4 linked regions of the Stegostoma tigrinum genome follow. The protein of the gene in region 1 interacts with the protein of each later gene in a pairwise test. Links are inferred from orthologs where the notes say so. Each region holds a gene or a part of one and is shown in the gene's direction. Other genes may lie near its edges.

Region 1 (7,604 bases):
TTCGGCCCAACAGGTCCACACTGACCCATTAACCTGTAAACCCACCTAATCTACACATCCCTGAACACTTTGGCAGCAACTTATCACGGCCAATCCACCCTATCCTGCACATCTTTGGACTGTGGGAGGAAACCGGAGCACCGGGAGGAAACCCATGCCGTCATGGGGAAGATTGTTCAAACTCCACACGGACAGTTGCATGAGGATGGAATTGAACCCGGATCCCTGGCACTGAGGCAGCAGTGCTAGCCTCTGAGCCACACCTGAGTTGAGGAAACGTAGTTAGCAGGATTTGAACCGGCATGGGGAAGCCCAAATGAATTTCTAATTGATTTGCCTTAACCACTCAGCCATGACTACAGAGGCCTAATGCTGGCAAATGAGACTAGGTTAACTTAGGACATCTTGTAATAAAGATGTACAGCATGGAAATGGGCCCTTCAGTCCAACCTGTCCATGCTGACCAGCTATCTTAAATTAGTCTAGTGGCATTTGCCAGCATTTAGCCCATATCCCTCCTGAGCCCTTCCCATTCATGTACCCCAAACGAGTTGGACTGAAGAGTCTCTTCCCATGTTGTATAAGTCTACCAACTGTATAAATGTGCGTTCTACGGACAGCAAACCCACAACCACTATATTGTGTGCAGGCTAAATTAGACCCTCTAATGGTTTAATTGTCAGTGGTGAGTTTTTATTTGTGTGGCTGGGGGAGGGTGTTAAGTGAATAATAGAATAACAAAGCTTATTTTTTGCATTGCCTCTTATAGTAACCTGGTGATGTGTGTGTTCTTTAAAACATTGTGTTCTCCTGAGCCAAAACGTTCTAGCAGGAGCCAAATGTGTTCCCTGAAGCCGTAGCTAATGCTGAACTGAGGCAGAGATCCTGACCGCAGCGCAGGAGCTGACCAGATGGTCAACACATTGTGGTGTTTAGCATTGAATCATCATGGTTTCTGTTCAGTTTCACTGAAAGATGAGGAAGGCATTGGGTTTAAAGATAACAAGGTGTGAAGCTGGATGAACATAGCAAGCCAAGCAGCATCAGGGGAGTGGGAAAGCTGATGTTTAGGGCCTAGACCCTTAAGGTTTCTGATGAAGGGTCTAGGCCCAAAACGTCAGCTTTCCTGCTCCCCTGATTCTGCTTGGCCTGCTGTGTTCATCCAGCTTCACACCTTGTTATCTCAGACTCTCCAGCGTCTGCAGTTCCCATAATCTCTCAAGGCGTTGGTTTTGCTTGCTTTCATTGGTCAGAGTGTAGGAATCGGGAAGTCTTGTTGCCGCTGTACAAGATGTGGCTGAGGTCATGTTTGGAGTACAGCGGGCAGTTCCGATTGCCCTACCACAGAGAGGATATTTAAACTAGGAAGAGTGTAGAAAAGACGTTACCTGGACTGGAAGGTTTGTGTTATAAGGGGAGGTTGCATATACTGGGACTTTTTGTTTTTTGCCTCTGGAACATAGGACATTGAGGGGTGGCCTTTTCTAGGAGTCTATAAAATCATGAGAGGCACAGATAATGTAGACAGCCAACAGCTTTTTCCAGTGGGAGGGGAGTCTAAAGCTAAAGGACAAAACCTTTTTTAAAGTGAGAAGGGAAGAGATGCCAAAGGTCCAGAAGGGCAATTTTTAACACAGGATCGAGTGTCAGGAGTGGGCTAGAGGTAGTGGCAGAAGTGAGTACAATTTTGTCAATAAAGAAACATTTGGACGGGGCAAGTGTGGAAGTATATGGGCTAAACACAGGCAAATAGGACTAGTTTAAATTGTGAAAACTGGGCAGCATGGACCACTTGGCCGAAGGGCCTGTTTCTATGCTATGAACCTCCTGACTCTCTAACTTTCACCAAGAGCAGCTCCTAATGCCTTTTGGTGGGGAGGCAGCTTCCTTTTAAATTCATTCATTCAGAGATGAAGGTATCTCTGGCTAGGCCAGCATTCATTGCCCATCCCTAGTTGCCCAGAAGGCACCTGAGAGTCAACCACATTGTTCGGGAAAGGTAGGGTATAAAGAGCCGCGGATGCTGGAAACAAAAGCAGAAATTGCTAGAAAAACACAGCAACATCTGTGGAGAGAAGCAGAATGAACGTTGCTGGTCCGGTGACCGTCCTCCATAACATGGAGTCGAGAGTCATGTAAAGTCCAAACCAAGTGACAATGGACCTTTCCTTAAGGACTTGGTGAGGCAGACACTGGATTCATGGTCATTGTTAGACTCTTCCAGACACTCACTTATTTCTTTTGCTGAATTCAAATTCTACTACTTGCCAGGAGGGGATTTGATCCTGGGGCCTCAGAACATTAGCCATGTTTCTGTGTCAATAATCGAGGGATAATGCCACTAGACCATCCCTTCCCCTTGCCTGCAAATTGAACTAATTAATCTGTGACTTGTCAGGGTCACGTGTTCATTTATTCTTTTGGAAATTCTCTTTTTTTTGTCTTCACCTCCCCTCCTACCGTGTTGTAAACCTCCTAACTCTGGTATCAGCCTGTGACTCTCCTGATTCCCAATGCCTCTGGGGAGGCAACCAACAGACCCAGGTGGGGTTTGAGTTCTCTCTCTAAATTGCAAGGAAGAGAGATCTCATCACCCAGAGATTGGGGACCTTGACGAATTCTCGATCACAGAAAGCAGTTGAAGCCAAAGCATTGAATGTGTTGGCGTTGGGTATAGCTCTTGGGCCTAAGGGTAATTAAAAGGTAATAAGCGAGAACAGTGCACAGAGTTGGATTATTAACTGTGATCGTACTGGAATGGCAGGGCTAGGGTCAAAGGGCTGAATGGCCTCCTAGCGGCTGTTTTGGCTTCCTGACTGCTGAGTCAGCAATGTTTACCATGGCAGGGCCTCAATGGTTGGGACTGCGGCCTCGCAGCGCCAGGGACCCAGGCGACTGTCTGGAGTTTGCACATTCTCCCTGCGTCTGCAAGGGGTTTGCTCAGGTTTCCTCCCACCGTCGCATGATGTGCGGGTTAGGGTGGATCGGCCGTATTAAAGTGCCCATAGTGTTCAGGGGTGTGTGGGTTATAGAGGGATGGGTCTGGGTGGGATCTCTGAGGGGCGGTGTGGACTTGTTGGGCCGAAGGGCCTGGTTCCACACTGTAGGGAATCTATGATGCTGTTGCCTCCGGATGTTTTGTGATTTGCTGTTGCCTGAACTGGCCATTGTTTGTCAGTGACCATGGTGGAATTTGCAGGCTATTCAACTACAGAGGCTTCAAGATGAGGCAATTTTCATCAGGGATCATTGGTTAGCATGTAGCAATCCATTCCCACATCTTGTACCATAAACTTCCAACAGCTCTGCTTTATAGTCTGAGCTTTAAAATAAATCTAGGAGAGCGGGCAGCGCTGGTCACCATGTGCATTTGCCATCGGGAGGGTGTTTTTATCCAATGCAACAGTGCTCGTGTTAACATAAACTGAGTGAACATTGGGGTATTGAAGAATCCCACAGAAACTTATTACAATTAAGTATTATGTGTCATCACTGCATTCTTCAGCCATATTAGTATCTGCGCTAACATTAAACTAGTGGGTTACAACAGATAAGCATCGTACTACATAAACATAGAACATTACAGCACAGTACAGGCCCTTCAGCCCTCGATGTTGTGCCGACCTGTCATACCGATCTCAAGCCCATCTAACCTACACTATTCCATGTACGTCCATATGCTCATCCAATGACGACTTAAATGTACCTAAAGTTGGCGAATCTACTACCGTTGCAGGCAAAGCGTTCCATTCCCTTACTACTCCAAGAAAAGAACTAGTAGGGTGTCCTGCTTTAAGTGACCCAAGGTACAATGGAGTCTGACCTCTTTCCACCCTCCTCCTCAGGTGTGATAATTAACTCAAATTTGATGCGGAGGCGCCGGTGTTAGACTGGAACAGATAAAGTCAGAAGTCACACGCCACCAGGTCATAGTCTGGCAGGGAAATCACAAGCTATGGACTAGTGCTCCTTCAGCCTTATCCCTGACAAAGGAGCAGTGCTACGGCAGCTTGTGATTTCAGATAAATACAGTACAGATTGACTGACGGTGAATAACGTTACCGTTTTTCCAGGCTATCCATTTCCTGGCTATCCCTTCTTGAATCCCCTGCTGTCCAAGTGGTTTTATGAAGCTCATTCCTCCTCCTCCAGGATGCTGGTCATAAACCCAACCCCTTTACCTGGGTCAAACACGGACAGCACCACGGTGTTTGGTATCACCAGACTCAACGGTTTCTGCTGGGTTTCGCCAGCGTGTGTGTGTGTGTTTCAGATTTCCAGCATCTGCACCTCCCTGGGTTACAAATGGGCCCCCCTGTGGGACCTTTCGCAGCGCTATACAAATGCACGTTGTCACTGTTGACTGAGGGGAGTGCATGGCCGAGATAAAGCATCAGGCGTGGCATTGGCCGGGAGGATGTCACTTGTATCTCTGAGATCTTGCGCTTTTTCCTGTTAACCAGGCAGATGCTTTCACCTCTGCTTGTCGCACTGTGCAGCGGGGAGTGCTTTTCTTTTGCTTCTGCGGAGGGGTGCAGCGAGGAGGGGGTGAGGCTTCGGGGTGGGGGGGCATTCGGCCTCGGAGCTGGAGGGCTTAACAGTGCAGCGGAAGACGGTGGGGGTTGGCGTCAGGAGCATGGCAGATACTCCAAGCAGGAACCTCGCACGAACCAAAGGGACTATGCAAACGCGACACAGGAAGTATGTTGTTTTTACTTTTTGTGTTTATTGCTCTGCGTTTACAGTCATTGAGCGCCAAATTCTCATAAGCACAGTGGGTAATCTCCCTTTTTAAGACTCCTGTCTCTCCAGGGCCTTCAGTCTGTGCCAGCTCAGCAGGCAGTGGGCTCTTTCAATCCCCTGCCTACCCAGTGGCTGAAATAATGCACTTGATTCAACTTGGGGCAGTCGAAGGATCTAACTGAATTTGCAGCCCAGGAGTGAGGCTGTTTGGGGTCTTTGTGTTGGTGCCATCCTTTTGTAAGAATGACCCAATTCGCCCCGCTTGCCCCATCTGTCTCCTCTTCCCGCGCCCCATGAGTTTCGCTTTCCTCCAGATAATTCTCTGGTTCCCCTTTTTTCCAATCTCTCTCTCTCCCTCTCTCTCTCTCTCTCTCTGTATGTGTGTGTATCTCTCAAAACCACAAGCATATCTGCCTCCACCATGTACTCTCGGGTAGCTCCTTCCAGATCCCACGCAGACGGCTTGTTTTTGTTTTAGAAAGCTGACAAACAATCTTTCCTCCTCCTGGCCTTTCCCTCCAGAGCATTTCTTTTGTAAAGAAAAATGTTCCCCCCTCCCCTTTTTCACTAAGTGGGAGGATTCTCACCTGCTGAAGCTGGGTGCCTGACTGATGTGTTGAAAGCCTCTAACGCATCTCCTTCTCGAACCTCCCTCCCTCCCAAAGAGGGCAACCACCCCCACCACCAGCGAACAGCTTCTCCCAGGAACCGTTCTTGGGCGTCTTCTTTGCGTCCATCCATGAGCATTTTTCCTCCATCACTTCAAGTGTGAGATGTCAATGAGGTTTCTGTTGTCAGGCCCAGGTCTCTCTCTCTCTCTCTCTGAAGCCCAGACAAGCTGGAAGTACCCACCCGAAGGAGGAAAACGAGATGTGCTTGTCACAGCAGTTGTTGTTGTTTGGTCTTTGTGTTCCTCCCATTCTGGGCCCAAGGACGCTCCTCGCCTTCTGGAAAATCCCAGTTTCTGGGAATTCCCTCCTGAATCCTCTCTTGAGAACCTAAGAATTCAGAACAGGTTGTGTGACCCATCGAGCTTTCTTTGCCATTCAATAAGATCATGGCTAATCTTTTCACAGACTGATACACACTTACCCTTCCACACACCGTAGCCCTTGATTCCTATAGTCACTTTCCCTACCTCTCTCCCAAGCGCACCCCCCCCCCGCCACCGCAACTTTTCCTGCACAACGCCCCATAAAGGCTCCTTCTCTGGGCCTCGGAACAAAGGGACGATCCTTTTAGAGCTGAGACAAGGGAGGAATTTCTTCAACCAGAGAGTGGTGAATCAGTAGAACGCTTTGCTGCAGAGACCGAACCAGTGAGTGCCTTTGAGACAGAGGTCCTTGACAGGGCAAGGGATCAAGGATTGCTGGGAGAAGGAGGTTAGAGAAATATGTCAACCATGATTGAATGTCAGAGCAGATGTGATGGGCTGAATGGCCTGTTTCTGCTCCTGTATCTTAGGGTCATACAACCTTCTAAGACCCCTTACACCATGGCTCTCATTTGAGAACAGTCCTATGAAATGACTTGTCGTTTTCTGCTCAATGAAATATACTTCATGTACAAACAAGGAGCATGAAGAGGCCATTTACCCCCTCAAGCCTGCTCCTGCTATTTGAGATCACAGCTGATCAGATTATAAACCTCAAACTCCCCCATCCACCTACCCCAGTAACATTTGCCCCCTTGCTTAACAAGATTCTAGCTATCTCTGCGTTATTTTTGCAAAATAAAATAAATGAAAGATTCTGCTTTCATTGCCATTTCAGAGAGACAGCCCCAGATTTTATTTTGAAATAAGTTTTTATGGGATGTGGGTTTTTCTGGCAGGCCCATATTTGTTGCCTGACTCTAGTTTTTCCCCCTTGAGAAAGTGGGATTGAGCTGCCGCCTTGAACCGCTCCAGTCCATGTGCTGTGGGCTGACCCACGATGCCATTTTGGGAGGGAATCCAGGATTTTGATCCAGCAACACTAGAGAAATGGCTGATTATGTTTCCAAGTCAAGATGGTGAGTGGCTTGAAGGGCAACTTGAAGCTGGTGATGGTCCCATGTATCTGCTGCCCTTGTCCTGAGAGATAATAGTGGTTGTGGGTTCGGAAGGAGCTATCTGAGGATCATTGGTGAGTTGTTGAAGTGTACCATGTCGACTGTACACACTGCTGCGACTGAGCATTGGTGGTGGAGGGAGTGGACGTGGCTCCAGTCAAGTGGGGACTGCTTTGTCCTGAATGGGTTTGAGTTTCTATGTTGGAGCTGCCCCCCGCCCCACGGTCCAGGCAAGTGGGGAGTATTCCCTCGCACTGCAGACCTGTGCCTTGTCATTGACACCAGCTCTCCAGAGATATAGAGAGAGAGAGAAATTGGCCTCTTCTGGTTTTTAAATTTCTGACCCTTGATCTGTAAACAACAATGCCTGTCTCCCTCAATCTTCCTGTGAGGGGTAGCACCTACCCCAACATCTAGCATGTTGAGACCACCCTGATCTTGCACTCGTGTGCAAATCTTTGCTTTCGTGAGGCATAACTGTGGATGTTGTTCTAAACAGAAGAAACACTGCTCAGAAACACCAAGTCCGTGTGCTTACCTCTATGTATGTTGTCTTTACCACTGGACCACTCCAAAAGAAGTGTCCCCTATCCCTGAGCCAGAAGGTTCAAGCCCCACCTACTGCAGAAGTATGTCCAATTTGATTTGTCATTGTTGCAAACACCAAAATAAAGTGTAAAAATAGAATAGAATGCACATTTTTAGTGTTGCAGCTACAGAGAAAGATCAAATCTAATATGAGAGGTCCATTCAAAAGTCTGGTAACAGGGAAGAAGCTGTTCTCAAATCTGTTGCTATGCTATGTGTTT
Region 2 (6,877 bases), on another chromosome or scaffold:
TCATTTCTCTGTACTGGAACTAAGCTTTGTACTTAGGGACTCTGCACCTAAGATGGTGCTGTAAGTGGCAACTTATAAATTTTTCACTGTACTAATTTGAGTACATGACAATAAATTTCATTCAATTTAACATGCATGTTTGATCCTGTAAAGTCTGAGTATCTCTGTTTTAAATGAGAAGCCATAATTTTTAAATCAAGTGCATATTCAGTTTATGATTCATGCATTATAACACTGAAATCCCTCTGCAAGAAACAACTTCGCAGCCTTCATTTAAACAATATACTGTTTTGCTACTTTTCCTGTCAAAGTGGATGAGTTCACATTTTCCCAGTTTATAATTATCTGTCATATCATGGTCCATTCACTTAACCTATCTATATCCCTTTCCAAATTGACTCCTTATGTCCATTTTGCATGTTGCAATTCTACCTCTCTTTGTGTCATTAGCAAATGTAGCAAACGTACATTGGTCCCTTCATCCAAGTCATTAATATAGATTGTGAATAGTTCGTAGAGGCAACGGCAGCAAGATTTTCAGAGATAGATGGCAAGACACTTTCAAGAATCACCAAAAAATGACCCATACATGAAACTAGGGAATGCCTGACTAAATTGGAGGAGTGAATGAAATTGACAACGTTGCAGTGGGGCACCTATTCCCCATGAACAGCTCAGCAAACCATTTTCAATTCCTTTTACAAACGGTAGCTTTATCATCTGTCCTGGAAAACTAGGCAGGCATTAACTGAGAATGCAGACCGTAACATATGCAAGGCCCAACTCTTACCTTTCTGCATTCTTAAAGACCTATGCCATGAAACCCAGATGTTCAACTCACAAGTGTAAACCTCATGTCAGACAATAATTTGACAATATAGTGTCCAGGTTCCCTTGACCCGTAATACATGTGCTATTAATCAACATAGTCTACATTCTGGACAGTGAACATAACAGGGTCTACAGTAGCTAGCTTACCAGTGTGCAATCATTTTAATATCTAAGCACAGTCATTACCCATAAACTGACCCAGTCTGAACATTGCAACAAACAGGGTTTATACACTGAGAGAATATGAACACAGTGATTCAGAAACTGCTTTTAGACAGTAACAAAGAAAGTCCTGATTGCAGTCTAATGACTGGGAATTTCTTCTGGGATGCCAGTTTGTAATAGCCTGCACTCAGAAACCTGAGGGGTAGCTCCTAACCGGTCATGTTGATCATGACATGATTAAGCAACAAGACTCCTTCCAACTGTTTGACTTACTATTATCACCATGGACCAAGATACCTTCAGATCAAGTCATGGTGGGGACAGAACATTGTCCTCCTGACTGCCACTCAGAGTATTGGACAGAAGCTTCAACCCATGTTGATTGCCGCATTAGCCCATCAGTGTTAGCATTGTCTGTAGACTTTAAGGGCCCCAGCAGAAGTGATATTTGAAAATGGTCCTCAATTCATTGAAAACCATGCATGTATGACAGCTAACAACCATGTCACATTATTGCCCTGATATCCTCATTCTAACTAAAGCAATATGTTTGATAATACTTACAATTTCTTATTAATATAAAGAAACTGACAGTTGGGCATCGTCTAAGGAATCATTTAATATTTTTGTTGTGACATTCAAAGAGTGTTCTTGTGAATCCTCCAATGATCAACTGTGCTTTGTTCTCTGAAGAACACATTTAAAAAGGGATATTTCATTTCTATACCGTGAAAGATAATGTTGGAGTGCCAGGGGATTTGAAATGATTATTAGAAGTTTAAAAAAAAAGATGTGATTCTGAAAAATTCAGCAGAGCATAAGTTGGAAAAATCACTTGGTTTTGACATGGGTTTGAATTTACTGAAGCATGTCGGGGAGGAAAGCAGAGGTTCAATAATGCTTAGCCAAACCTCATCATTCAAGAAAATTATATCATCAGACTGAAAGTATAACATCACTGTCGAAAAGAAAGGCAGACAAGTCAAGTAAATTATAGACTGGCATGGTAAACTTACAGGATTTAGGATTCAAGAGAAAATATTTTAAAATTTAGAAGTTAATCCATATCTAATTAGCACAAATTTGTTGAAATCAAACTATGCTTTACAAACTGGGGGAGGTTTTTCTTAGAATTTAAGATTTTGAAGATTCTTCTGCAACCTCCACATGGTCTGCATGATATCGAGTGGAATTAGCTTTATTGTTACGTGCACTCTAATGAGTTAGTGAAAAGTTTACAAGTCGCCACTTATGGTGCCATCTTTGGTACAAGATCCCTGGGTACAGATTCTTCAGTACAACTTCTTCAGGAAAAAAAAAGAAAAATGAAGAAATTAAAAAGTCCAGCACTACAGATTGTAGGAATAAATCAGAAAATCAAGACTAGTCCTTCCCAACCTCTAGTCTGTGCCAGGCCTTGACTCCAGATTGCACTGGGCTTCATCTTGAGGCTCTCGATGCCTGGAATCCTCAGTAGATATGCAGATCAGGAGTAGCTATTTTATCTAATAAAATGTGAGGCTGGATGAACACAGCAGGCCAAGCAGCGTCTCAGGAGCACAAAAGCTGACATTTCGGGCCTAGACCCTTCATCAGAGTGGGGGATGGGGTGAGGGTTCTGGAATAAATAGGGAGAGAGGGGGAGGCATCTGCAGTTCCCATTATCTCTAGCTATTTTATCTAATGGCTTAATTAATAACATATTTAGAACTGGCAAATCAGCCTTGCTTATAGTAATGACTTTGAATGTCATCAAGTACTGTGATGCTATAACAGCACCAGAATAGCAAGGGCAGAGAATGGTTCAGCGATCATAAAAGTTTATCAGAAAATGAGGAATATAGATATATTTAATGGTAGTTGTCTTTTCCCTGCAAACGGGGAATATCAAGACTATGGGGCACATTTTTGAGGTGAGACGAGAGAAGTTTAAAAGAAGACATGAGGGGCAATTTTTTTTAGAGGGTGGTTCATGTGTGGAATGAACGTCTTGACGGTGTGGAGGATGTGGGTACAATTACGATGTTCAAAAGGCATTTGGATAAGTGCATGAATAGGAAAGGTTTGGAGGGAAATAGGTCTGAAGCAGGCCAGCAGGATTACTAATGTTTGGGAGTACGTTCAGCATGGACCGGAGGATCTGTTTCTGTGCTGTATGACTGTGATCTGCTGATGCCAAAGGCATTGAGGCTATTCATAATCTGTTCTTGAGTATGTTTGCCATCGTTTCTTTGGTGACAAGAAGGATTCAAAGGGGTCATTAGCCACAAGACGTATTTCTGTCAAACCTAGATCAATGGCTAGTGACCACTTGTATGGAAGAAAATTTTTGAAAGGAAACAGCAAGAATAATAGATGAATAAAGACTTAAAACTGGGATGATAATTCCCTAGGTGAGAACTGTGGAAGCATCAGCAAAGGGAACACCAAGTCTTCATGGTGGGGGGCGGGGTGGGAAGAGAATGCTTACAAAAATAAACCCACAGTAAGAAATCTGACACAGGAGCATATCTGGAGGTCAGTGTGGGAGCGCCAATATATGAACCAACTCTGGATCCACCTTGCATATTTATACATTTAAGTCTTCTCCCGAATCATTCTGTTTATTTTCTCATGATATTAAGGAATTATTTTACGTGAAAGCCCAGTTCCAAAATCAAGAGTCTTTCGCTAATTCCGACATTCCGGGGAATGAGACTCTGCAGAGCAGTCCATCACGACACCTATCTGCCCGCCTCCATCAGGCGGTGATTGGTAACTATGATTCCGTCTTCGTGATTCTGGTGGTTAGGACCGCTGTCAATCACTTTACCCCCCCCCCCTCCAGGGACGAAGAGGGGTGTGGGCTCGCGGGCGGCCGGTAGTGGGAACGCGCTGACGTTGTTGAATGTTTAGCTTTGCTCGAGCAACCATGGCAGCCGTTCGGTGACAGCTCGGCGGCTCCTCTCTGACCGTCACTCTCTATTGCCGTTAACTGCTAGCCTGATCCCCCGCTACCCACGGGAGGATTTCCCCACCTCCCCCGGTTTGTTTGTAATTCACTTTGGAACTTTGCTACGGCGGTTGTGTTGAGGTAGGTGCTGACTTGCCAGGCCGCCCTGCACGCAGCCTTGACTAAGGCCTTTATCAGAGATTCCCGAGCGACTGGAGCTGCCGCAAGGCCTCGAGTTGGGATTCGCTGAGTATTCAGCGGCCCGGCCCGACCCGACCTGGCGCGGTTCGGCTATTCCGGGCCAGACGGCAGGAAGACGAATCACCACACCCCACAGACCCACAACCAACCAACCCTATTACGGTCCGTTTTCTCCCTCACCAAACCTGTCCCACGACGCTTCCATCACCCCTTCCCAACCTCTCCAATTATCTTGCCCAACCTCAACACCCACCACGGTCTCTTTCCTCACCCCCCCCCCCCCCCCAGATCCCGCTCTCCTGACCCACCCCGGTTCCCGCTCTCTTTCCTCACCCCTGCCTCCCCCCGAGGCTCCCGTTCTCTTTCCTCACCCCTGACTCCCCCCGAGGCTCTCGCTGTTTCTGCACCCCCTGGACGAACCCCCCCCCCCCGGGTCCCGCTCTGTTCCCCCCCGACCCCCACGCCCCCAGGCTCCCGCTCTGTTTCCCCACCCCCGCAAGCTCCTGCACTCCTTCCCCCCCCCCCCCCGTTTCTCCACCCCCTGGACGAACCCCCCGGCTCCCGCTCTGTTTCCCCACCCCCTGGACCCCCGCAAGCTCCTGCACTTCAACCGCCACCCCCTGACTTCCTCCCCCCCCCCCCCACCCCCTGTTTCTCCACCCCCCGGACGAACCCCCCCCCCCCCCGGTCCCGCTCTTTTCACCCCCGACCCCCGCAAGCTCCTGCACCCCCCCCCCGACCTCCTTCCTCCACCCCCACCCCCTGTTTCTCCACCCCCACCCCCTGTTTCTCCACCCCCTGGACGACCCCCCCCGGGTCCCGCTCTGTTCCCCCCAACCCCCCACCCCCTGGACCCCCGTAAGCTCCTGCACTTCCCCCCCCCCCACCCCCTGACTTCCCCCCCCCGACTTCCCCCCCCACCCCCTGACTTCCCCCCCCCCACCCCCCCCACCCCCTGACTTCCCCCCCCCACCCCCCCCCAGACTTCCCCCCCCCACCCCCCCCCACCCCCTGACTTCCCCCCCCCACCCCCTGACTTCCCCCCCCACCCCCTGACTTCCCCCCCCCACCCCCTGACTTCCCCCCCCCACCCCCTGACTTCCCCCCCCCCACCCCCTGACTTCCCCCCCCCACCCCCTGACTTCCCCCCCCCACCCCCTGACTTTCCCCCCCCACCCCCTGACTTTCCCCCCCCACCCCCTGACTTCCCCCCCACCCCCTGACTCCCCCCCCCACCCCCTGACTCCCCCCCCCACCCCCTGACTTCCCCCCCCCACCCCCTGACTTCCCCCCCCCACCCCCTGACTTCCCCCCCCACCCCCTGACTTCCCCCCCCCACCCCCTGACTCTCCCCCCCCCACCCCCTGACTCTCCCCCCCCCACCCCCTGACTCTCCCCCCCCCACCCCCTGACTTCCCCTCCCCCCCCGACTTCCTTCCTCCCCCCCCCGACTTCCTTCCTCCCCCCCCCGACTTCCTTCCTCCCCCCCCGACTTCCTTCCTCCCCACCCTCCGACTCCTCCCCCCCCCCCCCCCCACCCTCCGACTTCCCCCCCCACCCTCCGACTCCTGGTCTGTTTCTCCACTGCCTGGACGAACACCCCCCCCGCTCTGTTTTCAGACCCCCACCCCCTGGACCCCTGCAAGCTTCTAATCTTCCCCCATCCCTTGGACTCCTCTCTTTCCCCACCCCCTGGACCCCCTGCCCTTTTTCCCCACCCCCGGACCCCCTGCCCAGGCTCCTGCTCTCTTTCCCCACCCCCTGGACCCCCCACGCTCCAGTTCTCTTGTCTCTTCCGCCCGCCGGCCGGCTCCCATTGTCTTTCCACACTCCCTGACACCCCCAGTTTACGCTGTCTTTTCCCTACCCCTTGACCGTTCCCAGCTCCCACCCTCTGACCCCGCCATCTCTCTCTGTCTTCACTACTCTGCTGACTTCCCCACTGCCTGCTCTGTTTTGCCCCCACCACACCCACCTGAGCTCCTGCTGTTTTGCCATTCCTGCCACCACATCCCCCAGAGCTCCCACTCCTGCCCCCAAGCTCCCGGTCTCTGGTGCTTTCTCCCACCCCGTTCACTGCTGTCCACATCTCCAACATTCTTTCTCTCTCTCTCTCCTTCCCCGCCCCCAGTTACACATGGTGGACTGTTAGAACAGTTGAGTGACTGTTGAAATGAGCAAGTTTCTGTTAAAGATTTTAGGCAAATTAATGTTAAAATGTGAAAAGGATGATGTGGTTGTGATTAGTTAGATGGAATGCAGAGAATGTTATTAAAAGCAGAGAGTTGGAGAATAATGAATAATATAAACAGGGGAACTGGGTAATTTCCAACTTCACGGCATAGTGGGAAGTGCTAATTGTTTACCTTGTAGGTGAAAATTCATTTTTGTATTTGATTATTTCAAAATTCTGTTGCATTAGATGGAGAGTGCAATTCAGTTCTGTTAAAAGTAGAACTGCTGTTAAACGCATCTTTTAAATTGCCATCAAATTGGGGTGGCATGGTGACTCAGTGATTAGCACGGCAGCCTCGCAGCACCAGGGACCCGGGTTCAATTCCAGCCTCAGACGACTGACTGTGGAGTTTGCGCATTCTCCCCGTGTCTGAGTGGGTTTCTTCCAGGTGCTCCGGTTTCCTCCAACAGTCCAAAGATGTGCAAGCTAGGTGGATTGGCCATGCTAAATTGCCCGTAGTGTTTAGGAGTGTGTGGGTTACAGAGGGGATAGGTCTGGGTGGGATGCTTCAA
Region 3 (7,316 bases), on another chromosome or scaffold:
CTGGAGCAACATGGACTCTGGTGAGATTTCAGGCAGAATCTAGCGAGGCCTATCTCAAACTGAGGAACAAATTGCTGTATCCTTTACGCTAATGCTGAATGGTGAGGTGATTTGTGGTAAGTTGCTAATTAACACAATTCTAGCTTCTTAAACACCTCATTAATAGCAAAACTTGCCTCACTAACAGTCAACTTCTTATCAAACGGGCAAACATCGCGTTTTCGCAGAAGTACAAGCGAATGCCCAACAATTTCAGTTCACTGTTGGCTGTGAGGAGCCTCCATGATGCTCAGAACCAAACAGCATCTCACAGGGATAATGGGAACTGCAGATGCTGGAGAATCCAAGATAACAAAGTGTGGAGCTGGATGAACACGGCAGGCCAAGCAGCATCTCAGGAGTACAAAAGCTGACGTTTCGGGCCTATGCCCTTCATCAGAAAAGCTTTTCTGATGAAGGGTCTAGGCCCGAAACATCAACTTTTGTACTCTGAGATGCCGCTTGGCCTGCTGTGTTCATCCAGCTCCACACTTTGTTATCTTAGCATCTCACAGGGCACAACCTGGAGACACTGGATGAATGTATCCAAATCAAATGTACGTAATACAGGTCAGAAGTCTAATGTCAGGCGCCCCCACACCCATCCAGACCTTTTCTGCCCTCTTTTTGGGCACAGGGTGTGAGAGCAGGTGAGAGAGGATGTTACATGTGATCATGGGAGTAACAGAGCTTGAGCCTTGCAGTGGCAGAGACACAGTGAGTGTGAGGTAGCAGAGCAAAGAGTGTGTGAGTTATGTTGGTGGAGCAGAGAAGGTCATTGACCTCCATGCAGATCTTCTGGCCACTCCCCGCCACAGATACGACATTGACTGGGACAGTCACCTTGGATCCAGCTTCCAGGGTCCATTATCGTGGCCTCTTCTGCTGGTCCTTCAGGAGAGGGACAGCCCTCCTCTGCATCATCCCTTATATTAGGTCCTCCAGGTCCCTGTTGGAGCTGGGGAGTCATGAATGAATTACAGAGATTTACAGCAGGGAAACAGACCCTTTGGTCCAACTCATCCAGGCCGACCAGATATCCTAAATTAATCTAGTCCCATTTGCCAGCTTTTGGCCCACATCCTTCTAAACCCTTCCTATTCATGAGCCCATCCAGATGCCTTTTAAATGCTATAATTGTACCAGCCTCCACCATTTCCTCTGGCAGCTCATTCTATACACACACCGACCTCTGTGTGACAAAGTTGCCCCTCAGGTCCTTTTTACACAAGTTTGCCCTCACTTTAAACCCCATGTCAGTACTGAACATTGAGCAATCATCAGTGAACATCCTTATGATGGAGGGAAGATCATTGATGAAGCAGCTGAAGATGGTTGGGCTGAGCTGAAGAGCTCCTGTAGAGATGTCCTGGAGCTGAGATGACTGACCTCCAACAACCACGACCATCTTCCTTTGTGCCTGGTATGACACCAAACAGCAGAGAGTTTGCTCCCAATACTCATTGATTCCAATTTTGCTACAAAATAATGCAGATGCACACTGATAATAAGAAAAGTATAATAAACAATAAAGGTCCAATAATATTTTCTGCATTAGTTGGCTGAATTTCCCAGGAGATTCACCAGAGCAAATAGCACAGCTGTCTCTTGACAGCTGAAAGATTTTTTTTAAAAAAGCATCTGCAACTTTATTCTTCTTAGCAAGACACCTCTGAGCAGTTGCCAGGAGCTAAGCAAACGACTGGACTGGGACAGTGGGGTGGATGAGAGAGTAGGTGATAGTAAAACTTTGGTCAAAATTAAAAGATGTTTAACACATTTTGTTCTACAGAGAGAGGTGACAATTCTAAGGTTCGGGACCCGCAGGTTCCCTGAAGTCAGAGATATTCATAGAGTCCTTAAAACAGAAAGAGGCCGTTCAGCCCATTGTGTGAGGACCGACCCCCTGAAGAGCATCCAACCTACACCAAGCCCCTATCCCTGAGACTCTTTATCTATTATAACTAACCCACACATCTCTACAGGGAAATCTAGCACAGAAAAACCCATCTCACCTGCACACCTTTGGACTGTGGGAGGAAACTGGAGCATCCAAAGGAATCCCACACAGACACGAGGGGAACATGCAAACTCCACACAGACAGTTACCCGAGAGCGGAATTGAACCCAGGTCCCTGGTGCCATGAGGCAGCAGTGCTAACCACCGAGCCAACATTCCACTCACAAGGATGGCGCTCATTTTTATCTGATTTCCAGCATCTGGATCTCTTTCCGTTTCTCATTTTAATCTTGCCACCCATGTATAAACTGTGGATGATCGTAATAGAACATTTATTTCTGTCAGTTTTATTAGTGAAAGCAAGTGAATGGTGTGTGGAAAGCTTTTTAATCGTTGCCCCTTTTTGTTCACCTGATGAAGGAGCAGTGCTTTGAAAGCTGGGGATATCAAATAAACCCATTGGACTATAGCCTGGTGTGGCGTGACTCCTGACTCTGATGATCTCAGTCCAACATTAGCAGCTCCACTTCTTGGACAAGCAATGTATTTTACTCACCAGCATTCACACCCCAAACCCATCCCTGAGCTGCCTCCACAAGGACAAGTATTTTCTCTACAGCTGTCTTACAAAATCCTTGCACCACCTTAAACAGCTCCGGCAGGTCACCTCTGTTTGCTAGCATGTAACAGGGTGAAGTATGTCGGCACCAGGGAAACTCAGCACTGACAACACCTCGAAGGCAATTAGGGATGTGCAATAAATGCTGAAATTGCCAGCAACCCAGTGAACGCACGAAATAAATGTACAGTGGCAAAAGGTGAAGCCAAAAGCCAAATGGAAAATAAAAAGACATTGCAAAAACAACATGTCTTGACCGCGTCTCCCGCATTTCCCGCGACACATCCCTCACACCCCGCCCCCGCCACAACCGCCCCAAGAGGATCCCCCTCGTTCTCACACACCACCCTACCAACCTCCGGATACAACGCATTATCCTCCGACACTTCCGCCATTTACAATCCGACCCCACCACCCAAGACATTTTTCCATCCCCACCCCTGTCTGCTTTCCGGAGAGACCACTCTCTCCGTGACTCCCTTGTTCGCTCCACACTGCCCTCCAACCCCACCACACCCGGCACCTTCCCCTGCAACCGCAGGAAATGCTACACTTGTCCCCACACCTCCTCCCTCACCCCCATCCCAGGCCCCAAGATGACATTCCACATCAAGCAGAGGTTCACCTGCACATCTGCCAATGTGGTATACTGCATCCACTGTACCCGGTGCGGCTTCCTCTACATTGGGGAAACCAAGCGGAGGCTTGGGGACCGCTTTGCAGAACACCTCCGCTCAGTTCGCAAAAAACAACTGCACCTCCCAGTCGCAAACCATTTCCACTCCCCCTCCCATTCTCTTGATGTCATGTCCATCATGGGCCTCCTGCACTGCCACAATGATGCCACCCGAAGGTTGCAGGAACAGCAACTCATATTCCGCCTGGGAACCCTGCAGCCATATGGCATCAATGTGGACTTCACCAGTTTCAAAATCTCCCCTTCCCCCACTGCATCCCTCAACCAGCCCAGTTCGTCCCCTCCCCCCACTGCACCACACAACCAGCCCAGCTCTTCCCCCCCACCCACTGCATCCCAAAACCAGTCCAACCTGTCTCTGCCTCCCTAACCGGTTCTTCCTCTCACCCATCCCTTCCTCCCACCCCAAGCCGCACCCCCCGCTACCTACTAACCTCATCCCACCTCCTTGGCCTGTCCGTCTTCCCTGGACTGACCTATCCCCTCCCTACCTCCCCACCTATACTCTCTCCACCTATCTTCTTTACTCTCCATCTTCGGTCCGCCTCCCCCTCTCTCCCTATTTATTCCAGTTCCCTCCCCCCATCCCCCTCTCTGATGAAGGGTCTAGGCCCGAAACGTCAGCTTTTGTGCTCCTGAGATGCTGCTGGGCCTGCTGTGTTCATCCAGCCTCACATTTTATTATCTTGGAATCTCCAGCATCTGCAGTTCCCATTATCTCTGATGTCATTGACAGCATTTATATCTGATAACTTGCACAAAGTTATTAAGTGGTATGCATGTCATAACTGTGTGGATACTGCGTAACAGAGCTGGTGACTACAGGGTTAAAAGTGGATATTTCTTGAGTGCCTGCGACCCTACTTTGTGATCATTTCCGTTACTTTCAGAACTTAATTAATGACGCAAAGGATGATTACAATGAAGCCAGCAATAAGATTTATAGCACAGCTCACTGGAGACCAGTGTTGCACAGTCACTGAAGTGCAGCAGTCTGCAATCAACAGCTCTCAGGAAATTGCACTGTAAATGGCTCAGTGTTTCTGAGTGACAGAGTCAATCAACTCTTGCAAATTGGAAAGGGGGAAGCTCATCACCATCTGTGTTTGGCACTGTCCTCGGCTCCCCGTGGGTGTCAGGGTGAGCATAAAAGAATATCTGCTGTCACTTTTTCTGCAGTTCAGTTGTGGCATGTGTTCACCCCGCTCAGTGGACATCTTCAGATCGCAAACAGGCTGAGACCGAAAGCTCACACATCAGTCTCCAGGTAGGAAAAGCATTATAGCTCTCCTCAAGTCTCTGACGCTGTATTTGTCCCCTTCTTTCCCGTTGCACTTGTAGAATAGTAGCCAGATTGTCTCCGGCATTTCCAGTCCTTGCCCTGGCCACGGAAATGTTTAATCTTGCAATCCTTTTGATTTTTACTACAAAGTTGTGCTCTCACCATGATAACACTGTGGCTTTGTAGTGCTCTCTTTTTTTATAATTATTGAGAGCTCTTTGTTAACGTGTCTCCTTTCCATGGCAAGTTTTATTGACGGGCACAAAAGGAGGGAATTACTCTCATCGTTGTCTCAACCCATTTTGAATTTGTTACAGGTGTCTTCTCAACAAAGGTTTCAGCCAATATCGGGATGAAGAAGCAATTTTTTTGCCTAAGTTTACAGCCAAATATTTGCATTAAGGGTTGCGCTTATTTCTTGCTGGTGATACTGTGATCATGAACTGGGTCTTGGATTAGGTGGAAGAGGTGAGACTTCCTAGAATCCCTACAGTGTGAAAGCAGGCCATTCAGTCATTCAAGTCCACACTGATCCTCTGGACAACATCCTACCCAGACCCAAACCTTCGCCCACCCCCCCCCCCCCCCCACCCCACCAACAAGCCTGCCTGTGCAACCCTGCATTTCCCATGGCTGACGCACCCAGCCTACACATCCGTGGATATTACAGGGCAATTTAGTACAGCCAATCCACCTATGACTGTTACCTCCATCCATAGAAGGCAGTATCATCTTGGCCAGCTGATGATTTCTAAGGCACAAAGATCAATGCGTGAAACTAACATTGACAAAGTGAGAATTCAGATTTCTGTAAAAAGTCAACTGTAAGACACCTATAAAACCACATGCTCAATTTTTCCACCCAATCTAATCAATGGGCACAGGATCACATTGGTTGGATTGTGAGTACACAATGCCACTTGGTCAATTTTCCGTCATGCCCTTCAGGCAAACTTTACAGTAAAAAACACAAAGAGAGACTAAACCTCTAATCTTTAAACGGCTGGTACCCCTGGTGGGAAATGCTTACTGTGATTGTGTTTCCTTTTTAAATGAATGTCATTTTATAATCTGTCATTTGTGTGCCAAAAATATGAAGTGCAGTGAGAAGATGATTGCTAAACATATTTTAATAAGCATAGTTCTCCCTTTAAACTCACTGTTGATAGTCAGTAAGGCTGGCTACTGCTTTATTCTTACAATATTATACTGCTTTAATCTAACAATATTACCCTTGATTGTCGATTAATTGAAATCTTAAAAGTACTTGATACATTAAAAAGTGGACTTGCATTTGTACAGTGCCTTTCACAATTTCAGGATGTCACAAAACCCTTTATAGCCAGCTATGTACTTTCAAACCTGGCCCTATTCTAACCCAGGAAACACAGGGACCAATTTGTACACAGTAAGATCCCACAGGAAGCAATGAGAATATAAACGGATACAAAAACTAATAGCAACTCACAACATGTTGTCCTCTACATTGGGCAGATTGGGCAACCACTTTGCAGAACACCTATGTTCTATCTGCAAAAATGACCCTGAGCTTCCAGTTTCCTGCTGCATCAACACACCACCCTGTTCTCTGGCCAACATCTCTGTTTCAGGCTTGCTGCACTGCCCCAGTGAAGCTCAGCACAAGCTGGAAGATCAGTAACTCATTTTCCACTTGAGAACCCTGCAGCCTTCAGTTCTCAATATCGAGATCAATAATTTCAGAAGATGAACATCTTCTATGTTCTTTACCCAGCCCCACAATCCAGGCCCTGCCATGAAATCAAGATAACAAAGTGTGGAGCTGGATGAACACAGCAGGCCAAGCAGCATCTCAGGAGCACAAAAGCTGACATTTCTGGCCTAGACCCTTCATCATCTTGGATTCTCCAGCATCTGCAGTTCCCATTATCCCTGCCATGAAATGGACTGCTCTTAGCAGAGCCAATCCATTTTCACAAACTCATTGCCTGCACTATCAGCTCTTCTCCTTCCCTGACACGCTGTCAATTGCCTCTTTGGCTCCCTCACTTTCTTTCTCTATCTCTGGGCTCGATCTCCACCTATCTACTCACTCCTTCACTCCCTCCATCACAATACCTCTGACCCCCTGTCATCAGCATGAACGCCACATTTCCTGAGCTATTATTAGTCCTGAAGAAAGGGTCACTTGATTCAAAAGGTTAACTCTGTTTTCTCCCCATGGATGCTGCAAGATCCGCTGAGTCTCTCCGACAACTTCTATTTTTGTTTCCAATCTTCAGCATCCACACTTCTTTGTTTTATTTAGTGATAACCGGATGCTCTGTCGTATTTTAGTGATGTGGGCTGACGTATAAGTATTTGCCCTCATTATTAGTGAATTCCTCCACACTTCTTTTAAATAGTACCATTAGATCTTTTACACCAAATGGAGAGATCAGTTGGGTCTCAGTTTAATGTGCTATCTTAAAGGAGGCATTGGGACAGTGCAGCACTCCTTTGGTACTACACTGAGTGTCAGTCTGGACTTTACGCTAAAGTCCCAGGAAAAGAACTTGAACTTAAAAACATTCAGAGATAAGAGTGCTATCACTGAACCACATCTGACATTTGAATCCTAGATTATTACTGAAGGAAATGAATTTGTAGAAGTGAAGATTAGTAATTTTTTAAATTCATTCATGGGATCAGGGTGTCAATAGCCAGGCAGCATTTATTGCCCATCCCTAATTGGCCAGAG
Region 4 (7,171 bases), on another chromosome or scaffold:
TGAATAGGTTGGGGCTAATTTTTGTGGAGTGTCAGAGGCTGAGGCACAACCTTATAGAGCCAAGATCTTTTTCCCAGAGTAAGGAAGTCCAAAACCAGAGGGAATAATTTTATAAACATATAAAGAGTGGAAAGATATAAAAGGGAACTATGGGGCAATTTTTCATTCAGAGGGTGGTGTGGTGTGTGTGTGAAATGCACTGCCAGAGGAAGTGATGGAAGGTGGTACAAATACAACATTTAAAAGGCAGCTGGATGGGTACATGAATAGGAGTGGTTTGGAGGGATATCGGCCAAGCTCTGGCAAATGGAACTAGATTAATAGATAACAAAGTGTGAAGCTGGATGAACACAGCAGGCCAAGCAGCATCTCGGAGACGCTGCTTGGCCTGCTGTGTTAATCCAGCTTCACACTTTGTTATCTTGGATTCTCCAGCATCTGCAGTTCCCATTATCTCTGGAACTAGATTAATGTAGGGTATCTGGTCAGCCTGGATGAGCTGGACCAAAGGGTGTGTTTCCATACCATATAACTTTATAACTAATTACGGAGACTTTATCTTTTGAGTTGCGGAACATCCCAGAAGAGGAAGCATCCTTTACACACAGACCCTGTCACGATCCCTCAGGATTTTACGTTTCAACCTACTTGACTTTTAGCCTTCTCAGCTCCTGGAGTCTGTCCGAACTTTCCTCGTTAAACAACCCACTCATTCCAAGCATTAGTCTAGTAAACTTGTTTTTTCCCCTTGCTTATCTATCTAATGCCCTTGTTTACAGAGCCAAACATCATACTAATTTGAAATACTATCAACTTCAAACACGCTGATTTGCGTGGAAAGCCTGACGCCTTCCTGACATTTTTTCTTAATACAAACTTGTTTCGTTTTATCACGCAAAGCAAAATGAATAGCTAGCGACAGCATTTTAATCTACCTGTTTTCTAAAAGACGTAACATGCGTGACACTTTATTTCGGTGCGAACGTCAGCCTTTTATAATTAGAACGAAGTATAAATAGCCATTAATTGATTTATAAATATCCTGGAACTGTTCTAGCCCTTTTAAAGATCAGACCGGTTTGGCTACAGAAATCTGTACTGGAGATTTCGGAGCAATTCCTCCATTTGATTCATTAATTTGGGGCACTGTGCAGTTCTACAATGTGCTTTAAGGCACATTAACTTTTTGTTTGCTGGCGGAACTCGGATCTCTCCGCATCTTGTGTTACCTCATTAAACACTACTTACGTAGGATTTTTTTGTTTGTTTTTTGAGTTAATTAATTACCATTACCATTCCCTTCTGTTTGTTTTCTCATCAAAAGATGCCCTGCCGCTTTAGGATCAAATTACGTACCAATTTCTCGTGTTAGTATTGGATAACATCATATGAAATCTACACCAAGGCTAATGTAAAAATAATTTTCAATTTCCCATTCACCATCTCCTTCGGCATACAAGCAAATGTGATAACTGAAATCAACCATCTACATTTATGGAGAAACGTAACAGTCCCAATGCTTTCAATTGTAGCAACCCACTGAACAGACTTGGGAAGCGAGAGGCACTTGTAGATTCTCCAGCGTCATTGAGCAGACGTTAGTTGAAAATGACTTGTGTTCATCTGACCTAATGCAACCTTGACGCTTATAAGTGCCCAACTTCTCTTTAATATATTGTACTTTTTCCAGAGATATGTACAGGCTCGCGTCCTACTTTACCACTTGTACCATTTCAGGATTTTGATTTAACCGGGCGACCCTAATATCGATTTCGGTGTCGATCTCTGCGAGAAGCTTTGTTTGCCAACGACGAGCGATATCTCAAACGGAGACATGAAGAGATGGTCACGCTGAGAGTGTCACCTCTTCAGAGCCGGGAACGTCATTAGCTTCTTTTGCCTTGACATCATTTGGATCCTCTACGTTGTTCCCCGAGGGTAGCGGAGGTGCTTGGCGTTGGGGCTATACACATCGGTCACTTAGTCCGAAGCTATCTGAATGGATTGCGTTTTCTCATTCCCATTCCTGACAACAGCCGCAGATATTTGATACCCAAAGTGGGATATTGTGACGGAGGGCTAAAATATAACCGGGTTGGTGCCCATTGATTATAATGTCGAATTGCTCTGGTATCTCCCACAGAATCAATTAAACCTCTGCCACAAAAAGGTTAACATAGTGTCAACGTATTTACTTTTCGAATCCTCTAACTGGATATTAAATGTCTGAGATAATGGGAACTGCAGATGCTGGAGAATCCAAGATGATACAGCGTGAGGCTGGATGAACACAGCAGGCCAAGCAGCATCTCAGGAGCACAAAAGCTGACGTTTCGGGCCTAGACCCTTCATCAGAGGGTCTAGGCCCGAAATGTCTGCATTTGTTATGGAACATTGTGTAAACGATATGTAAACGGTTAATCCAGAACATGCAGTTACATTGCAAATATTACAGGAGACTAGAGGTTAGAACTAGTGAAAAGCAAAGTTAGAACTGACATCGGAAGCGTTTGTTCATTCGGATGGACCAGTGTACGCACCTCGTGGAAAATAGAGAACGATTTGGATTCCATACAGAAGAGATATTTGGGGTCAGTTGAGTGGATGAACTGAGACAAAAATGAAACTGCTACTAAGTAACCAGGCACTACTTCCCTGCTTATCCTTCCATTACTGTTAGGAGATATTTAACGGTCACACGAAAGCACACTTGTCATCCAAACTTCTAACCTCGTTCAACATAATTATGCTGGAACCTTCTGAGATGATTAGATCCTGAACTGACTCAGAGGCGCAAATGTTACATAATAACCCAAGCTGACGACAATATTTTGATTTACTTTAGGATATAATCCATTACTTCAAATTGTAGCTAATTTTGGTTTAAAAATTATATTCACCGAGGTAGTTTCTTGGGAATGTCAGTAGGGTATATTTTTCCAGGGAACATGCTATTAAGTATATTGCCACAGTAAATATTTTAATAAAACATCAGATACCAAGAGAGACAGTTTCAATTGACATCCTTTGAACGTACATATGCAAATAATGCATCAGCCCAGCGAGATCGTACACTTAACCATTGGAGCGATTGTCTCCCTGGAAATCAAAATGTTTTGGAGAATTCAGCATTTAGATAAAATAAGTCGGCAACGTAGAACAATTCGCGCTGTTCTAGAAATCTCGCGAAGTATTACAGTTATGCGTGTCCAACAACAGTTTGCATTTATTTTGTGCAGTTAACATAGTGTAAAATGGTCTAATGCGCTTACCACAACGAACATCGAACTTGTGGAGATGGAAACATATCTGAAAGCTTTCAGGACAGGCACAACAGAGAAAGAAAGCAAAACTTCCGTTTTGTCTGGAGGAGGCGATAACTCTGCCAATGTGCAGAAATAAATGGGAGGCACACCTTTTTGCACTGTGTTTGTGATGGCAAGTCTGCTGGCCCATCACTGTGGGCAGTGAAATAAAGCCTGGTGTATGTCCCTAACCGGAATGTAGAGTTTGGGTCAGGTTTGATTCATGACCGAGCGGTCCCGGTTCAGCGTATAGCCTCAAGTGGCAAAGTGAGTGTTGACTACAGTTAGTGTGTGAAGCTCCGTGTGTGTGCGCGCGTGTGCCTAGCCGGCGTAAGAGAAGTCAGGAAGTCTGCACTGAGCCTACCTCCACTGCTTACCCGTCACATTTCAGAACAGGAATATCGTCTTCAGGAAAAGAAGAAAAAAAAAACAATGCGCGACTTCATTCGAGGGGAGGGTGAAATTGAAGCCGGGAGGTCTCGATTCGAGTAGCAGAATCCCAGTAAACTTCAGATTGGGAGTACGCGCTGTCAGAAGCTTTGGAGGGTGGGGGTGGGGTGGGGGGGGAAGTCAGACTTCAGCGTCTGTGTTCCTTGCGCTGTGATGGTGAGAATCTGGCACGAATGCTGGTTTCTGCAGAGAATTTCTCAAGCCTAGAATTTTTTTAAAAAGTGGCAATTTACTATAAAAGTATGTCTTTTTTGTGATTGACAAATGGCTACTTCTCCCATTTATATGAATAGCCCCGAATCCTGTATCCTTTCTGAATACTGTGAAGTTGAGTTACTGAGCCCCAGTGGTGGTCGGACTGACGGGGAACACGCCACTTGTGTCTAATACTTGGAGGTAAATAGTGCAGCTAACGATGGGTGCAGGCTTCGAGGTTTGAAGCTGCAGGTAGACGGCGATTGGTTGTGAAAGATTATGACGTTCCGCCCCCCTTGGGCGCTATATAGAAGCGAAAAGGAAGGAGCGCTCAAACAGAATCCACAAAGCGGAGTTCTGCAACGAACGGGCGAGAGAGAGAGAGAGAGAGAGAGAGAGAGGGCTAAGTGGCCGGCTGTAGAGTCACCGAGTGATATGAGTGTGAGGAGAAGGGAGAGCTGCTGGCATTATGTGCAGCGCCGCTGAGAATGGGCTCGCAGGAGAGTAGCTCAGAGAGCAGTGTCTATTTCCCACTGAGCCCCTACATGCTGAACAGCAGCGCAGCTCCGGGGAGCGAGAGCGCGGTCACCCGCAAGGAGCTGAGCCCGGCCTGGAAGATCATTGTCAGTATCGTCATGTCGGTCATGGTGCTGGTGATCGTGTTCGGTAATGTGCTGGTGATCACGGCAATTGCCCGCTTCCAGCGGCTGCAGACGGTCACCAACTATTTCATCACGTCGCTGGCCTGTGCAGACTTGGTGATGGGGCTGATCGTTGTCCCGTTCGGTGGGGTCCGCAGTATCACCGGCGTCTGGTACTTTGAAAACTTCTGGTGCGACTTCTGGACCTCGCTGGATGTTCTGTGCGTGACGGCGAGTATTGGCACCCTGTGTGTGATCGCCCTGGACCGCTACCTGGCCATTACCTCGCCTTTCCGCTACCAAACGCTGCTGACCAAGTGCAAAGCGCGGCTGGTGGTGCTCCTAGTGTGGATGGTAGCGGCTCTCACTTCCTTCCTGCCCATCTACATGGGCTGGTGGAGGCTGGATGACCCGGACTCCCAGAAATGTTACACCGACCCCAGGTGTTGCGAGTTCCTCACCAACAAAGAGTTCGCCATCTCCTCTTCCATTGTATCCTTCTACCTGCCCCTGCTCGTCATGGTCTTCCTCTATACCCGGGTCTTTCAGGAAGCCAGGCAGCAGCTGAAGAAGATCAACAAGTACCAGGGTCGCTTCCACAATCTCAACAACAACTTGAACCAGCCTGCCCCTTCTGTGAATGGCAAAGCTGCCAAACAGGGGCAGAAAAGGACGCCCAGGTTTCTCAATCTGAAGGAGCACAAAGCTCTGAAGACGCTGGGGATTATAATGGGCGTCTTCACCCTCTGCTGGCTGCCCTTCTTCGTGGTGAATATCGTCAATGTCATTTTTAAGGACAGCATCTCCAACACCGTGTTCATTTTCCTGAACTGGGTGGGCTATTCCAACTCGGCCTTTAACCCGCTCATATACTGCCGCAGTTCGGATTTCAGGCATGCCTTCAAGACGGTGCTGTGGGGCTGCCGGGGCTCGCTGCCGTCCACCCACCACAGCAGTTATCCCAATGACAACCCCGTGCCGAGCGAGGATCGCCTGACGAACGGTCTGCCCTGCAGCTTCGAAGGAGCGGCGCCCGCAGCTGCGAACTGCAGCCCCCAGCCCGATGGCAATGAACACAGGCTCCTAGATTCGGTCATATAGCGGCGGCTAACCGACACCCACACAACTAGTGGAACTCAGCAACAGGGGGCACACGAACTTGACACTGAGTAAGACGAGATGTTCCAGCTCGATTCCGCTTGTACTTTTCATGCATTCGCCTACCTCATAACTCAGTGAACGCAATGCAAGGACGTTGTGGTGAAAGTGTGTGAACCCCCAGCCCGCCCCGCGGGAGATGTAAGCCAGCTCAGTAAAACAGAAGGACAATTCTTGAATGTTGCTACATGAGCATTAACGGAGTGTTTAAATGTTTACAACTCGCATGACGCCTATTATATAAAGGCCATGTCGACCTTACTGAAAGCATTTTTGCGCCCTCTTTACCCCCTTGGATGCTCACTGGCACACCATTTTAGAAGGGATTGTGATCTATATCACAAAACATCAGGCGATTTATTCGGCTGAAGAAGGGATCTCAAAGAAGGATTGTTGAGTGCAGTTGCTGGAAACATTGGAGTCAAATAGTCAGTACAGTAGCTGTTAGACAGTGAGAAAAGAGATGTGCATTGCGGTCACTAAGTAGCGAGATCGCCCAACTTCCTCCCAACAAAGAGAAATGAGTGGGATGTCTGTATATGAGGAGGAGGAAGGGTCCAGTCTATCCGATTTCTCAAAGTTAGATGTCCAACGGGTTTGCAACTGCGTGCGCGCAGTTCGAGTTAGGAAACACCCCACCCCTTCCCATTCCTCATCCACGCATTTTCATAAAATAGAAAACAAACGTGTGTGCTCATTTGCCGGCGCGTTCACATTTTGTGTCTGTACTTGTACTGTGGTGTGTTCGTTGTGACCTTTAAGTGCGTAACTGTATTTTGCAATGTTGCACTTTTTCGAGTCAAACAGTGCTGAAGCTCAGTCTAGGCCCGAAACGTCAGCTTTTGTGCTCCTGAGATGCTGCTTGGCCTGCTGTGTTCATCCAGCCTCACATTTTATTATCTTGGAATTCTCCAGCATCTGCAGTTCCCATTATCGCTGTAGCTCTTCTGGACGTTTCTCTTTGCAATGAAGGTGAGGCTTGTCGTTTTCCATTCCCCGCCCCCCATACGTTTCGCAGATAGAGACTGCGTGGTTTCACGTGAATAAGTGTCGAACAACAACAAGAAAAACTTTTTTTAATAGTAAATAATTACCTTGTACCAATGTCAGTCAAAAGCTATCCTACTGAAATGTTAACCTGAGCTTTCTGTGGCATTGTCTAGTTCCTGAGTCCGGGTATTGGAATTTTCCTGTACGCCAACGCTTGGAGCGGATCTTTGTGGGATTATGTGCAATAAATGCTCGTGATTTCGGCGCTGAACAGGCATGGGGCAGTTCAATGTTTACTTGATTTCTGGGTCGATATATTTTCGCACAACGTCAAAACAAAACAGTTATTTTGGATTTTCATATGAATTCAGGTAATTAAGAAACGAAACAATTTTGGATATTTATTATTTAGAATCAATATTGGCTGTCTAT

Evidence for each region.
Region 2: the proteins of arrestin red cell (region 1) and mitogen-activated protein kinase 9 interact in binary tests that used the Homo sapiens proteins (3 or more experiments, as listed by UniProt). The two-hybrid records come from large-scale screens. The link is inferred for Stegostoma tigrinum from reciprocal best matches to the Homo sapiens genes ARRB2 and MAPK9.
Region 3: the proteins of arrestin red cell (region 1) and agtr1a interact in a two-hybrid assay, tested with the Homo sapiens proteins (2 studies listed by BioGRID and IntAct, with this or other methods). The link is inferred for Stegostoma tigrinum from reciprocal best matches to the Homo sapiens genes ARRB2 and AGTR1.
Region 4: the proteins of arrestin red cell (region 1) and adrb2a interact in binary tests that used the Homo sapiens proteins (3 or more experiments, as listed by UniProt). The link is inferred for Stegostoma tigrinum from reciprocal best matches to the Homo sapiens genes ARRB2 and ADRB2.

The regions. Positions count from the first base shown.
Region 1 is NC_081398.1:5,107,517-5,115,120, reverse strand, and holds the start of arrestin red cell, read left to right. Parts: upstream 1-4,586; 5' UTR 4,587-4,636; coding exon 4,637-4,701; intron 4,702-7,604. UniProt on the Homo sapiens protein: Functions in regulating agonist-mediated G-protein coupled receptor (GPCR) signaling by mediating both receptor desensitization and resensitization processes.
Region 2 is NC_081366.1:37,148,534-37,155,410, reverse strand, and holds the start of mitogen-activated protein kinase 9, read left to right. Parts: upstream 1-3,855; 5' UTR 3,856-4,069; intron 4,070-6,877. UniProt on the Homo sapiens protein: Serine/threonine-protein kinase involved in various processes such as cell proliferation, differentiation, migration, transformation and programmed cell death.
Region 3 is NC_081367.1:68,722,590-68,729,905, reverse strand, and holds the start of agtr1a (type-1 angiotensin II receptor), read left to right. Parts: upstream 1-4,294; 5' UTR 4,295-4,582; intron 4,583-7,316. UniProt on the Homo sapiens protein: Receptor for angiotensin II, a vasoconstricting peptide, which acts as a key regulator of blood pressure and sodium retention by the kidney.
Region 4 is NC_081366.1:51,363,645-51,370,815, forward strand, and holds adrb2a (adrenoceptor beta 2, surface a), read left to right. Parts: upstream 1-4,167; 5' UTR 4,168-4,438; coding exon 4,439-5,692; 3' UTR 5,693-7,010; downstream 7,011-7,171. UniProt on the Homo sapiens protein: Beta-adrenergic receptors mediate the catecholamine-induced activation of adenylate cyclase through the action of G proteins. The beta-2-adrenergic receptor binds epinephrine with an approximately 30-fold greater affinity than it does norepinephrine.